Oreochromis niloticus: one gene and its partner. The protein of the gene in region 2 purifies or fractionates together with the protein of the main gene of each other region. This does not show direct contact. Links are inferred from orthologs where the notes say so. Each region holds a gene or a part of one and is shown on either strand. Other genes may lie near its edges.

The links. Proteins that work in one complex are often made in the same cells at the same time.
Region 1: the proteins of flvcr1 (region 2) and tmem9b purify together in Homo sapiens (co-immunoprecipitation; 3 studies listed by BioGRID and IntAct, counting the BioPlex papers as one, with this or other methods). This does not show direct contact. The link is inferred for Oreochromis niloticus from reciprocal best matches to the Homo sapiens genes FLVCR1 and TMEM9B.

Annotation. Positions count from the first base shown.
Region 1 is NC_031965.2:20,257,269-20,264,186, forward strand, and holds the start of tmem9b (transmembrane protein 9B), read right to left. Parts: upstream 3,001-6,918; 5' UTR 2,812-3,000; coding exon 2,740-2,811; intron 1,503-2,739; coding exon 1,411-1,502; intron 1,308-1,410; coding exon 1,199-1,307; intron 919-1,198; coding exon 784-918; intron 1-783. Other genes in the region: scube2 (signal peptide, CUB and EGF-like domain-containing protein 2), read right to left, coding at 5,203-5,349, 5,848-5,927. UniProt on the Homo sapiens protein: Enhances production of pro-inflammatory cytokines induced by TNF, IL1B, and TLR ligands. Has a role in TNF activation of both the NF-kappaB and MAPK pathways.
Region 2 is NC_031980.2:22,516,757-22,524,307, forward strand, and holds the start of flvcr1 (choline/ethanolamine transporter FLVCR1), read right to left. Parts: upstream 3,101-7,551; 5' UTR 2,977-3,100; exon of another isoform or gene 2,867-2,976; 5' UTR 2,762-2,866; coding exon 2,045-2,761; intron 1,584-2,044; coding exon 1,439-1,583; intron 679-1,438; coding exon 538-678; intron 1-537. Other genes in the region: spata45 (spermatogenesis-associated protein 45), read left to right, coding at 4,851-5,091, 6,217-6,236; putative deoxyribonuclease tatdn3, read right to left, coding at 6,758-6,892, 6,980-7,060, 7,232-7,344, 7,413-7,468.

The sequences.
Region 1 (6,918 bases), on a different chromosome or scaffold from region 2:
AAAAAATGCAGAAAATGAGCATCAGCTCATCCTGATGAACGATAGCAGTAAGTGCTAAGCTTACTGACCCATACACTGCATTTCCTGTGAGTATGTTACAGTAAGGGTCAACTCATATTTCACAAATTAAATTATTTTCACGTGAATCTGCAGCAGCAGGAAACCTAAAGCTTCACCACTACTTTTTCACATCATCTGATGATAGTGAGGCCGAGTTTACAGACTTCTACTTAGTACTGTCACTTTGTATTTTTCTAATTTTACAGTTGTGCTCCTGTGACAAACATCTATAGGTTGTGTTCTCACCCGCTGCACCACAACCACACTTCCTGTCCCAGATCTTTGTCATGCCCATGTTCTTATAAATAATCAGGATTTCCCCATCAGTAATGTAGCAGCTGTCATCGGGTTTCTTTTAACTACGTTGTGAACAGAAGGTAGTTACAGCTTGTTTTAGATCCTCCCTGCTCCCGTGTTTGCCTGCGATTGTAGTAACTACCGTGTTCTCCAGTCTTTGCTTGAAACATGCGTTCAGATTCCCTTGAGGCATTTTCAGCACAGCACAGCACAAAAAAAGGGTTTGAAAATTAACACAGGCACTTGTAAACTTTTAAAGTTTACCTACAAAGGATGACTCCCATGTGACATTTCGGCCAATGGGTCCACATAAAAATCCTCATAAAAGGAGCAGAAGAGTGGCGCAGCAGCAGTGAAAAAAAAAAAAACTATACAACAATGCTAGTTTCTCAGGTAGAGTGCTGTAAAATTAAAGGGACCACATACCCCAACGTCATCGTCGCTCTGTATAAGCTGCGAGTGCCCAAACAGGCGCCTCTTCAACATGGGCTCCAGGAGAGTCAGGTAGACCATGTAGAGCAGCAGCAGGCCCAAAATGGACAGGTACATTATGATGGTAAACTGAAAATAAGAAACAATTACTGTGGGATTGCTCGTTTCCTAGAAAAAAAAAATAATCAGGTGTCCTCTAAGCTGAACAATAATCCATTAAGTCACACACAGCATGAGTCACATGATAGGCTGGCTGTTTTTCATTTTTGCATTTTGCTTTAGACAAAAAAAAGAGGCGTCAGAATAAAAGGACGATAAAACTATAAAACTAAAACTCAATCATTAGATACAGCCCTACGTCACAGCAAAGAAAAAACAACCACGACTCTTTGACCCAACTTGAACTTACCTTAATGGTCCCCGAGCTCCTCTCTTCATATTTACACTCACAGCGTAAACAGTACGCCTCCACATCTTTCCCGTCCACTGGCATGGGATCAACCACGTGGAGACAGTTGCTGACAAAACATTAAAATTAACAAGCTTTCAGCTTTTCAGCTAAACAGACCAAGGACAGCTTGCATCAATGAGAGAAACACAGTGACGGCTTTGTTAGCATACCAGTCCTTAAGAGAGACATTTTGTTTGTAGATTTGACCCTCAACTTCTCGGTACGGCGGACAGATGCATTTACAGCGGATGTCCTCTGAATTCTGCAACAGAGACAGCAAATGTTTATTTTTTTTGTTTCTCAAACACATTTGCACAATATTTGGTACACAAAAGCCTACACATTTCATTATTATGCAAATCACACCAAAATAAAGTTGGAGGATTTTTAAGCCCAATACTTATATTTAGTCATTTAGTAATCTGACATTCTGATTTATCGGATGATTTCCTTTTCTTTCACACAAAGAAAACGTAAACAGATTCATTAACATTTTTTCGTGTGGTTATTTATTTACTCGTTTACATTCTGCCCAGCTCTGCTCAGATTAGCTGATTGTTGTGTTTGTGCTGTTTCAATCAGTGTTGCCAACAGGGAAGACGTATAGTGCCCTCTGATGGACAAACTATGCAACATCAACACCCATAACATGGCAGAAGGATGTTGCTTGTCTCTTTTTTATTTTTTAAATTTTCATGTAATAACAGCTTCTATCAGCCATCAAATTAGTAAAACCAGGAGTGTGTTTGTTAGGATTGATCTGTTAATGAAAAGTAAACCTGAGTAAATGATGACTGAGTGGACGATGCTGAATAAAATGCCGCGATGTTGTTTTTAAGATAGATGGATTTAAATGGAGAGCCTGCATTGAAGCAATTAAACTCTGGGGTGAACAAACTCAGGCAGTTGAACTCTGGCTTTCTCGAACTTAAAACTCAAGAGTTGCCCGTGTGAGAGGTAATCAACTCAGACTTTATGGTCAGACACAGTTTGTTGAACCTGCTTTCTCAACCATAACACTAGTTATTATAGTTATGTCGATACAGGTTACAGATCTCACACGCATTCAGTACGATCACGTGACAATACCCGCATCTTTTGTTTTTACTCACTTTTAGATGGAGTGTCATTATTTTATTTAGATATTTAACTCCTTCACTTTTCTCTATTTAACTGTGCTCCTACCTTACTGACCCCTTTCGTACTGTCGTAATGTATTTTATCCAGCTTTGTGTTTAGTGTTTTGGCCGCTGTCAACACAGGAACTTCCCAATTTCGGGATAAATAGCCTCTTTTTTTCTGTTCTACATCCTCATCATCAACCAGCAAACATAGCAGCCACATTCGCGCATTAGTTAACTTTTCTGACATCCAGCTGTCAAACCCACAGCGACAAGTCATCGTTTAGAGGAGATTTAAAGAAAAGCCATTTCATTTCATCCAGCCATCATCACCATTTCCTCCACATAGCTAGCTAAGCGTGCTAACGTCAGCCTTACCTTCGCTGTCACTTGGCTCAGCAGCACAAAACAAGCCAGGAAGAGAGCCTCGATAAAAAACACCCACTTCATGTTTACAGGAGTGCAGCTCGTTAACAACACAGGTCCAAATGTTTCCACGAACAGCTCCAGCAGTGTGAAGCAAACCCTAACAACTGACGAGATTAGCCATCAAGCTAACTAAACAGCAACAATCGTCAGCTTCCTAGCAGCTGACTTGTAATTTCCGGAAATGGCGGTTGTCTTCCGCACACAGTGCTGAGCCGGCCGTGCTTGGTTAATGACATAATAAACGATGTCCCGGCGCGGGAAAGTTCAGATAATGCCAAATAGCTGCTTGTTTGTCGCCCATCAAAGGTTGTTCGAAATATTATCCAACATTTAAACCAGTTACTTTCAATTAATTGGGTTATATTTCTACAAAAACAAACAAACAAACAAAAACCCTAAAAGTAAACTGAACCGCTGAGGACGTGAAATTAAATCGAACGCACCCTTCGGTTCGACACGCTCGTAAACAGCAGGTGTATCAAACTCTGGTCCGGGGAACACCAGGCGGGTCATTCTTCTTGGAAGACAATTTTTATATTATCATTGTAGAGTCTTTACCTTAGGGCAGGGTTAGGGTAAAGTGCCTTGTGTTTTGGCGCTATATACATAAAAGCGCAACTCAATTAAAACGCTAAGATAAATAAACAAATCGACTATTTATTTTTATAATTTCTTTATAATTCTTTTTTAGCATTTACACTAGTGCTCAAGAACTATTTTGCATTATAAATAATATTTTCGAACCACTTTTTCATATAGATTATTTTCGAATTAATGGGGTTGATAGAAAATGTCCTGCAACTGTAAAATGGCCTTTATAACTATGGAAGATTGGATAATTTCATCACTGAAAAAAACAACGATAATTCCAAATTATGTGCAACCTCGTTAGTCTAATTACTCTAGTTTATCCCCGTCTCCATATCATTTTTGATAAAATAATCATGTTATTTTTCTTGCAAGCATTTTATCTCAAACGTTCTACATACTAACTCAATAATAATAATACTTAATAAAGACCAACTTTATTATTCCTCTGGAGGTGTTAAACATATAAAAACACATGAACTTGTATAGAAATAAGAAAAAGTGGTTGAAAGTGGTGGAAATCAGTTTCCGGTCTTTATTTACAGCACATTCGATGTACAAAATCATAAAAATATACATACTTGTTTCATCTAGGACAGGTAAATATAGTTTACTTCTATTTTACAGAACTTTTCATGTATTCATGGCATCACAAATTGTTCGGTTTCTCAGCAGAGTAATTAGTTGTCTTTGGTTGCTAGTGACCTAGCTGAAGCAGTCATTGTCTTGTGACTAGTTTTGGAAAGGAAAAAGTGTTTTTTAAAGAACGGCAGTGCTCATCCAGACACCTTAGAGCAGCGGTCCCCAACCTTTTTTGCGCCACGGACCGGTTTATGCCCGACAATATTTTCACGGACCGGCCTTTAAGGTGTCGCGGATAAACACAACAAAACAAAACTAGTACCGGTACCGAAAAAAAGAAGATTTATTCACAACACACGTGAAAAGACCCAGGAAAACCGAGTTAACGATAAAAACGATAACAAAATAACGCTGAAAACCGATAAAAACAATACATTTCACACCCGAGCCTCAACTCTCGCGGCCCGGTACCGGTCCGAGGCCCGGGGGTTGGGGACCGCTGCCTGAGAAGACCAAATACGTGAGCCAACAGCAAATGCAGCCATGCTATACCATTAAAATGTATGTAGCTGCTACAAAACATTAGCGTTTCACCTAAAACTTTTTACATCATATACAAGACATTCATCAAAATAATTGCTTTTGTGGCAGGGCTACTTCTTTTGCAGTGCTAATTTCCCCAAGAAAACGTGTGTGCGCGCTATTTGTTCCTGACATTTTTGCAGTATTTCATGCCTACCTGTGCAGGCCATGTTAAAAAACTAAATGTTAAACCTAAACCTATATACAGTGTTACTGACATTCAGCATATATCTGTTCGTCTGTCATATTTGTTTTTCATCCAAATGCAATTAAAGAGTCCCATAATGCCGGCATGTACAGTATTTCTCAACATTCAAATACCCAATTTGGACTTGGAATTTAAATCCCAACTTTAAAATTTAAAGGGTCGTATAATGTCATTCATCTGCTGTTATAAGTATTTTCCAAATGAGATCTCCTAATTCCTCTCCGAGGAAGCCCATATAGATCTAGGTTTGTACCACTTCCTCAGTTAAAAATGTCACTTTTCCATTGGGATCGTTTCATCAGGTGCCGTCCTCTCGTCCAACACATAACCTTAGAATGCGCAGGGGGCAATTGATAAAACACATAAGCTTAAATTAGAAACTGGACCCTCTTATTATGAAAAATCCTGGAACCTTGTGGCAACTTTTTTTTAATTTAATTATTTTTTTTTTTTTAAGGACGGAGGAACCTCAGGACTTTGGACCGCAGGAAGCGAATGAAGGATTTGGGGAACATTTCTCTTGATTCTTGCGCTGTATAGTTGAAGAAGTTTTGTGGGTGAGCCAGCACGTCAAACAGTGCCTTCATGAGCTTCTTGTCCTGAGGGGGGGAAAAAAGAAGTGTGTTATCCAAAAGAATTCCTTACAGTATGTAATTTTTACCCATAAGAAACCACAGTGACACAGGTGTCACTGTCCCTTTACACACAGAGGGAAGTTCCAATAAAGTTTCAACACTTCTCTCTCAGTTTTCCTGACAATAAAATGGGTCAGGGCTCTTATGGGTTAATGTGAGCAGTACTCTGTATTTCTACTTGTTCCCAAAAGAGGGTGCTACACGGTCACTGGATCCAAACCACTAACACTAATAAAGTCTAAATGGTCAGCTGAAAATAGCCCATGAGATAAAATAGCTAAAACTCTTAATGAGCAGGTAAAATAAGTCAGGAATGCAGAGCTTTAAAAGATGAAAGTAATGGATAAATGTAAATATATACAGCTTACACTAATGGTTTTAGGTATTTTAGACCTACTCAGGCTGGAGACCAAAATACTCCCTGTTAAACATTTGTATAATATAATTATAAAATCCCGATACCTTAAGTATTTCCTGGTGATGCTCTGAAGCATATAATCTTCCATCTCTGACGATGTCTTCTATCAACTCCTGGTAGTCCTCTGAAACAAATAAAGTTCATAAATAGCTTAGTAAGAAAAAACAATCTAGATTTAAGCAATATTCAGAGGTATCATCGGTTTATTCTTTCTCAATTCATCAAATTTAAAAGGGATTGTGCAAAAAAACACAAACAAAAAAAAAAAAAAAAAAATGTAGAACCCTACAGAAGATTTAATGGAAACCACAGTTTCTACAGGTAGGGGCTGATTTTTTTTCTCTTAAACAAATGAGGCACACAGTATTTGTTACACCCCACCCCCCAAAAACAACAGACAAAAACCCACAGACATCTTTTTCCAAGTTGTCTCTGATAATCCTCAGGGAGGACACCATGTACCAATTTCAAATGACTTTATGGGTCGTAATGGCACCAAGAACACATCGTCTCTTCTGGGCCATAAAAAAAAAAAAAAGAAAAGAAAAAGAAAAAGATTCCTGCCAGGCCACAAGGCTGCATGAATGAAATGAAAACACTTTGCTCTTCTTCTGAAAGATAAATGCTGAATGAAAATGAGGAGTCCAAAAATTTATATTGGAAAAATGAGAGAGACATCTTTACCATGTTTGAGTTTTAATATAGTTTTAATATAGACATCAAAGGAATTTGCAAAGAAAAGCGTCTGGACTTCTTTAAGTTGCTTGAAGACGTTTCACCTCTCATCCGAGAAGCTTCTTCAGTTCTAAGGTCAAATGGCCGAGAGTCCCAGATTTAAACCCAGTGGGAGTATCCCCCCAAAGAGGGACAAAGGACCCCCTGGTGATCCTCTAATCACATGAGCCAAGGTGTGAAAGTGGGTGTGGGACCTAATCAGCCAGGGTTTCGGGTGAGCTCATTGTGAAACCTGGCCCCACCTTGTCATGTGAATTCCTGAGGTCAGATGGCCCAGGATGTGAGTGGGCGTTAAGGCGTCTGGGGAGGGAACTCAAAACTGGATTATAGATGGCAGACAGTTGGTGTCGTAAACCACCGCCTCTGTTCAAAGATGGTCG
Region 2 (7,551 bases):
GGCCCAGTGCTGCTCTCTTTAGAACAAATCGCCCCAAGGATCTTGAAATTTACACACTAGCAAAAAAAGGTTATGAAATTCAACCTTGGTGCCACACTGTTTGTTTAATGAAGCTTATCAAATGTGAGACAGCGGTCGGCTGTTTTCTAAGAATGCAGAAATAGAGGTGTGCATAGAGGAGCAATTTTAGCATAAAAGGAAAGCATACCAAATGAAAGAAAATATGTGTAGCAGTACTATGGGTAATGCTACTATCTGGGGTAACTTTATAGTGATAAGGTTGTGACATTGTAATGATAATCTGTATAGGTGATGATGGTGGGTGAGAAGAAGTTGCTACTATTCATCATGATTATAATAGCATAGGCTGTAAGTCAGGATAACAGAGGTAATGATCGTAGTAGTGTGTAGTAGTGAGTGTAGCCAGGGTTTGTTTTGAGTAATGCTAATCTATTAGATCTGCTGACCTGAAAGAGTCTCCATAATGTTACCAAAAATAAAGACAAACAATGTAAAAATCAGGTGTTTTACACTTACCATAGGTGATGAGGAGCAGGACAAAGGCTTTATTCTTCACCAGGTTGAGGATGGACTGTTTGTAGGAGTAATCTTCAGGAGGGGAGTCTGGTAAGACAGCCTGTGCTTGACTGGGAGGGAGAGGAGGTCTGTCTTTTATGACTGTGGAAAAGGCAGAAAGAGTGAAGTGATGGACCTTTTATGTGAGAAGAAAATAAATCAGAGCCTCTGTGAGCATACAAGAACCAGAAAAGTTAGAAAATGATTGATATGTGGTATCAAATGTAATGACTACACATCTGCATACATACAACCCACATTTTGAATGATAAATGATTTATTTAGATTATTTTTGACTCAATTCAAAGATGTGTTATAGAGTCTGAGGTAGTTTCAGGAAGTCAGCTGCCTCAGCAGTTTGAAATGACTGAACTGCTGCCAAAACCAGGAGTTCCTGAAATTACTGCAATGGAACTCGGGTAATATCTCATCTCTTGATTGGCTCGTTTTAAACCAGCTGCAGTTTCAACACTGTGTGTTTACATACCGTGTCATAGCTATTTAAAGACACTTACTATTTACACCCCAGTTTACAGAATGATGCAGAATCTTAATCTCAAACCCAAATTCATGATCCTGAACTGGATGCTTAGTGTTTTTGAGAATATTTACAATAATCTTAGTCTCAAGAAGACAACCTGGCCCTTAGATGTGCAAAAGCACACTTGCACACCTGTGTACCAGGAAGCAGAGGTGTGCCAGTGTTCTTTTGTACCTGCAGGCCTCTGTCCACATGTACACAACAGAAGTCTGAGTCTGAGCACCACTCCCTGGCAACTGAAACATTTGGCAGTACCAAGAAAACCTATGCTGCTTTGCATAATGTAAGCCAGCGTGTGACTGAGTGATATTAAATGTGTACCTATCACTGCCAGGACGAAGAGGACCGTGGAGACGGCAGCTGTACCGTAGAACATAATCATGATGTTGTGACCTGTGAGTTCAACATTATCAGGGGTGTTAGGAACCAAAACAGGAGGCAACAAGAAGCCAATGGCTGTCCCCAACTACAAACACAAGGCACAGGAAGAGAGAGAAGAGATTATTTACTCACACAAATATTACTATTGATAAACTGAGCATATAAAGAGCTGATGATCTGGTGATGATAGTGTTGTCCATTAGCTGGCTGTGGCTAAGGAATTATTTTTCATCTACTATAGGCCTATTCTTAGGTTTTATTAGTAGTATTATGTTCCATGAGTCCCTAGTTTTTCTCATTTTTCTATTACTAGTAATGAAAATGTTGGAATTTAGACTATTCGTTCGTGGGTACAATAATTTTTGGGGGGTCAATAATTGTCAGTGAATTCTTGGCTGTTATTATTGTGTTTGTTGTTTATTTACTGTAAAAACTGAATGATCACTAAAATAGAATCACGTCTCTCTTCCCCCCTGACTCGGTCTGCTCACTAAACTCCACACAAACCTAACCTATCAATAATCTGTGACACGCGCACGCGCTAACCTGGTTTCCGAGTACTGCCGTGGCGCACGCGGTGGAAACCTCTCGGGGTCCGAACCACACCGAGGCCACGCGGGAAGGCAGGCCGAGGATGAACACCTGCGCCACGGAGCAGATGACCTGCGCGGTGACGGTGACTGCGAACAGCTGGGGGTTCACGCTCGCGCATTTCAGCCAGGCGCCGGCGCAGTTGAGGCCGGCGCCCAGCAGGGCCGTTAAGCGCAGACCCTTTCGGTCCAGCAGCCAGGTGGCGGGGAAGATGAGCGGCACGTAGGCCACCATGTAGACGATGGAGAGCCAGTCCACCTTGTCGTTGGTCACCCCGTAGTACTGCGTGAACACGTTGGTGATAATGCTGTACTGGATCCACTGGAAGGCGTTCACGAGGGAGTACAGGCTGAAAACGGCCAGCACGGCGAACCGGCGGGCGTACACCCTGGTCTCCAGCCTTTTCTCTTCCTCCTCCTCCGCCTCGCCTTCTCCTCCTCCTCCTCCGTTGGGTAGCATCACCTCTCTTTCATCAGGCGGAGCCTCCTTGTCCTCCTCCAGCTCCTGCGCGCGCTTTGAGCCTGTCTCCCCGGCCCCGCCCGCGTGCGCCGCTCCGTGTGGCCGCTCCGCGTGCCGTTCCTCGTCCTCCGGCTCCTTCCTGCCGACCGTGATGTCGTCAGGTGCGCCGGTACCCGCGCGCAGATGCTCCTGCACGAGCTCACCGGCGACCATGATGCGTGTTCGCAGCCTTTTGCTCTTTTTGTGTGATGCTGAGTCCAGAGATGATCGACTGAGGCGAGCTGAGCAGGAAACAGAGAGGTTTCCTCATTTGGTTACCTGTGAAAAAGAAGGCTGAGCTGTAGATGACTGAAATATGAACAACTGCAGACTACACATCCCTAAATATGAAAATACTCGAACATGTCGCAATCCTTTGAAAACAATACCCAGCTTCTGTCAAACAGCGTGCTGCTCCCGGTCTGACACACTTGATTCTCTCTCTCTCTCTCTCCCTGTCTGGTGGTTTCAATACGTCTCTCTACCTTTTAAGCCGACTCTGACACGAAGCCTTTCGATAGCGATGAACCAATAGCAGAGCAGCATGAGCTTGTAGTATCTAGTAGTGCTGCCTGTCTGGGCGTATGTGTGAATGGTAACCGTGGAAGCTCTGATGCGACACTTAGTAACGAAAATGCTCTGCTAGGAAGTCAAAACGAGTCAGTTTCGTTACTAAATCACCTTCTCTTTAATATGTAACAAAAAAATAACGCGAGATCATTTAAATGTTTCTGGATGTTAGACTTTTTCAGAATCTGTTTCTAATTTCTGCTAAATTAGATGAGTGAGTTATTTTCATATGTGATCCGGGCTCCTTGTGAGACCTCTCAGTACCATAAAGTCTGTGGTTCCTAGAAACACGGCCTGTCAGGCTACTCTCCCGTGGAAACAGCTCAGTTTGGGAGCAATAGACACACCCTCTACTTTTTAGATTTGAATCTACTTTGTCTAAAGCAGGGCTGGAGCAGGCACGCTTGACTCACGTGATATTTATGCTGTTGTATGCTCAGGGTGCTGCGATACTTCCCATGATGCACTGAGGATTTCCTTTTTTTTCTTTTTACTCCTGCTGCTAATATGCCACTACTGTATGTGACTAATGTTTGGCCACTATCTCGTGGATTTTATGTTTTATCTACAATCCTCTTTCTTTGGTCACAACAGATGGTTGTGCCTCCCTGAGCCTATGGGAGACCTGGATAAACCGTGTTCTTCCTCACCACAGTCGCCAAGCCCTACCTTAATGGTGATTATCAGATTGTATGGGTTCTTCCTCTAATACTGTAAATGGAATACAAGTAAACATGAACAGAACTGATTGAAAAAATATAAAACTAATCAGTAATTGTTCCTTTAGTCTGTAACTACGCTGCCTGCTCCATATACTCAAAGTAGCCTGTCCATATGCTGAGCATTATCTGCTCTAATCCTAGTGTGACCCAGTGAGACTGGATGCAGCAGCAAGTCTGATCCTACAGGTGATTCACACCTACAGTAAAATCTACACACAGCTGATCTCTTTACTGGACTTTAAGATACAAAGGAAGCAACATTTCACAGCCCTCTCTGGTTTTCATTTCCAATGAATGGCAGTGCAGTGTTGTTTGACTTCACTGAACAACGTGTAAATATTCAGCTTGCAATCATTTATAAATCTCGAGCTTCTAAGTATCCCAATTATTATTATTTTTAAGTAGGTCCTTTCTCAGTGGGATCAATCAAACTACTGTCCACGTGTTGCCTCCTTTTGAAATCATAAAGCAGCTAAATCTTACTATGTCCCTATTTTAAGATACCAGACAAAAAGAAAACCACGGACGTCACAGCTGTGTCTATTTATTTATTTTTTATTTATTTTGTTTTTATGCAGCTGACTTCACAGGTTCTGCAGACTGTTGAAGACAGGTTGAATCTCGTACAAGATATATTGTTTTCTCATATATCAGTGTTTTTGTGAAAGCCTGACAACTAAAGAAAATAATAAAACCAAAGGAAACTAAGATCACACTTCCCACTAAATTTGAAATTTAATATCTGATGTGAGATTCTTACTCCACATTCTAGTAATCTCGGTCCCAGGAGCGAGGGAGGTTCTACTTTCGCTCCCCACAGAGTGGCTCATCCTCCTTAATAAATTGTCTTTGAGACCCCTCTTCCGGTTTCTTGTTGCCCTGGTAACAAGTGTATTGTCACAACTTACCTTTGGATAATTTATGAAAGGAAATCTAGTCCACATTAATACTTCCTACAAAGGTAAAAAGTAATGTCCGGGTATGAGGAGCGGGCTCTGCTCGAGCTGAATCAGAGCAGGGAGACGTGGTGTCAGGTGGAGATGGACCCCCGGCAGGGCTGGGAGAGATCCCAGAGGAGACATTACCGGAGTCACTTGAAGACCAGCCCGGTTCTCCTTACAGCTCTGACCGGCGGACCGCAGCGCAGAGAGGCCTGCACCCAGCGGCCTGCCCCCGTCAAGCTCCCCGAGAGAAGGCACTTCGAGGAGGGCTGTAAGAAGGCTTGTCTTAAGATTTCACAGAAATATTTCTGTAGATCTGATATGGACACAAGAAACTGTGTGTGTGTGTGTCCCAAATACTTTAAAGATATTAATATTTAATTAGGTAATTACATTCTAAAAGGCTGAAAGACTCAGTATTTTAAAACTACAGCAATCATGTAAGATCCTATTCCACAATTTAGTTTATCAAAGAACCCTACTTGCCAGATATTTCAATTTCCCTTATTACACTATTAAAGATGAAATTTGTTTAGTAGCTTCATTTGGTCCACAGTACAGACAAATGAAATTTCAGTGATGAGAGATAGTTTGCACACATGCCATTACATTAGGACCCTACAGGTCACCCGTTTTATGACTGCTGTTGTCAAACATGTGGCCCACATGTGTTTGGGGACAGACCCAGCCTCAGTAGGTCCTTTCCACCTCAGTGGATGATTTTGCAGAAAAGGAGAGCATGGCTGTTTAACGTGCTAAATCTGAGCCTCAAGCTTGAATCATGGTCAGTTTCCCAGCCTTCTTATTAAAAGACTTTACCCACAATGTGTCATACAACACCTTACTAACCCACTTACACCTAGGAGCCACGTTGAAGCCTTTCTTCGCCCTAACAGCAGACTGAAAAAGGAAAAACTGAGGCATGTTATTATCAGTTTGTGCAAAAAAAAAATAAAAAATTGATGCAGTGTTTTTACCAGTCCAGTCTCCTTGACGTTAAATTGATGATATGCAGCCCACAAAGTAAAATGAGTTTCACACCACTTACCCAGACAATCATCTAATGCAAATTTACCACTTGTACTGTAGTTAATTGGCTTAAAGTAGAAAATCTGTAGTGCACCACTTAATTTCTGCATGTCTTGATCAGGCTGACATAAACATATTTATCAAAAACATGAGGTGGAACTATGCTGTATCAATGATTTATGAAGGAAAACAAAACAAGAGTTTGCTGATTCTATTCTGCTTGCTTTTACTTAACTGAAATTCTACTTAAGTATTTTTTTGTCAATGTTCAATAGAACTTTGTTTGAGAACAGCTGTATTATTTGATTTGTGATCCAAGAGAAAATGCGCAGCTGTTGACTCCTGAGATCTGTCTCTTCTCTTCCAGACAAAACTCACCTGGTCTAGAGAGCTGCAGCCTTAGAAGATGACCTGAGCTCTTACTACAGATACACCTGGGACCCAGACGTGGGGCAACTTTCAGTATTTTATTTTCATGACTAATATCTGACGTAATACAAAACCCCAAATATGCTGGAGATCATGACGCATGAGGTCTTGAGACATTTGATTGTGCTTGTTATTGACAGTACTGATATTAAAAACTCATTTTTGAAAAATAATTTCTATGCATCACTCATTTTGGTCAAGAAAGACATCTTATTAATTATTAGAATTATCTGCAAGACTTTGCAGAAAGCTTCTAGCTTGTGTGAAACTTTAAAAAAAAAACAAAAAAAACTCAAAAGTAAAGAAAAACCTTTCTGATATTCAAACGTTAGCAGTGTTATTCATCATGCGTTTAAAAAAGTTCACGTTGAGCCTCGCAGTGAAACACTGAGGGGCGGACAGTAGTAAAGGGAGTTATGTTTTCCATGACGTCACACACTGGGTGAGCCTTGGATTTCGAAATCACGCTCACGTCACTGTCAGCGTGTTTTAGCTTTGGGGAAGAGTCTGTATGCGTTGTGTGCGGTGACCAGCCGAACAGTTTCTGGAGGGAGACCTTTGACATCGGTGATGTAGCGACATGGTAGGATGATGTTGGCGGGCTCATTCCTCACCTGGTAGACAAAAGACAGATTAAACATGTCTGCACTCGTGGCGCTGTGTCTCAATATGATGATGATTTTAAAGCCTTTCAAACTTACATGCTGGTGAAGCCCGAGGGCAGGAGAGTCTGTCTCAAGACAAATGTGTTCCAACGGGATCTGCTTGATTAACTTGTATCTCTGTGTGGCGGTATTAAAACTGTTTATTCAGGTGACTCAGCAAAAAATTTTATATAATCTTTTCCACAGGATGACACTTCTCATCTCACCGGTTTGCTTCTGCTTCTGCAGGTGACTCAGCAAAAAATTTGCAAAAACTTTTTTTCCATAGGACGAAACTTCCCATCTCACCTGTTTGCTTCTGCAGACAGCAGGGGGAAAAGAGAAGAGGTAGCCCGCCTTCACACCTTCCAGAGCGACCGATGGCTTCCCCGCAAAGTTATGAAGCAGAGCTCGGCTGATGCCTGACAGAAAAACAGAACATGAGATAACGTTCAGATGTCTGGATGGTTCGCTGGAATCGAACACCCACCTTGTTCCTTCATGGTCTCAATCGTGACCCTGGCAGCTGATCTGGAGTGGACGTTCCTGAACAGAAATTCACAATCAACACGTTACATAGACTTCTATGTGGATTAAAAACCTTCACTTAGCCACTTATGCATGCTCGG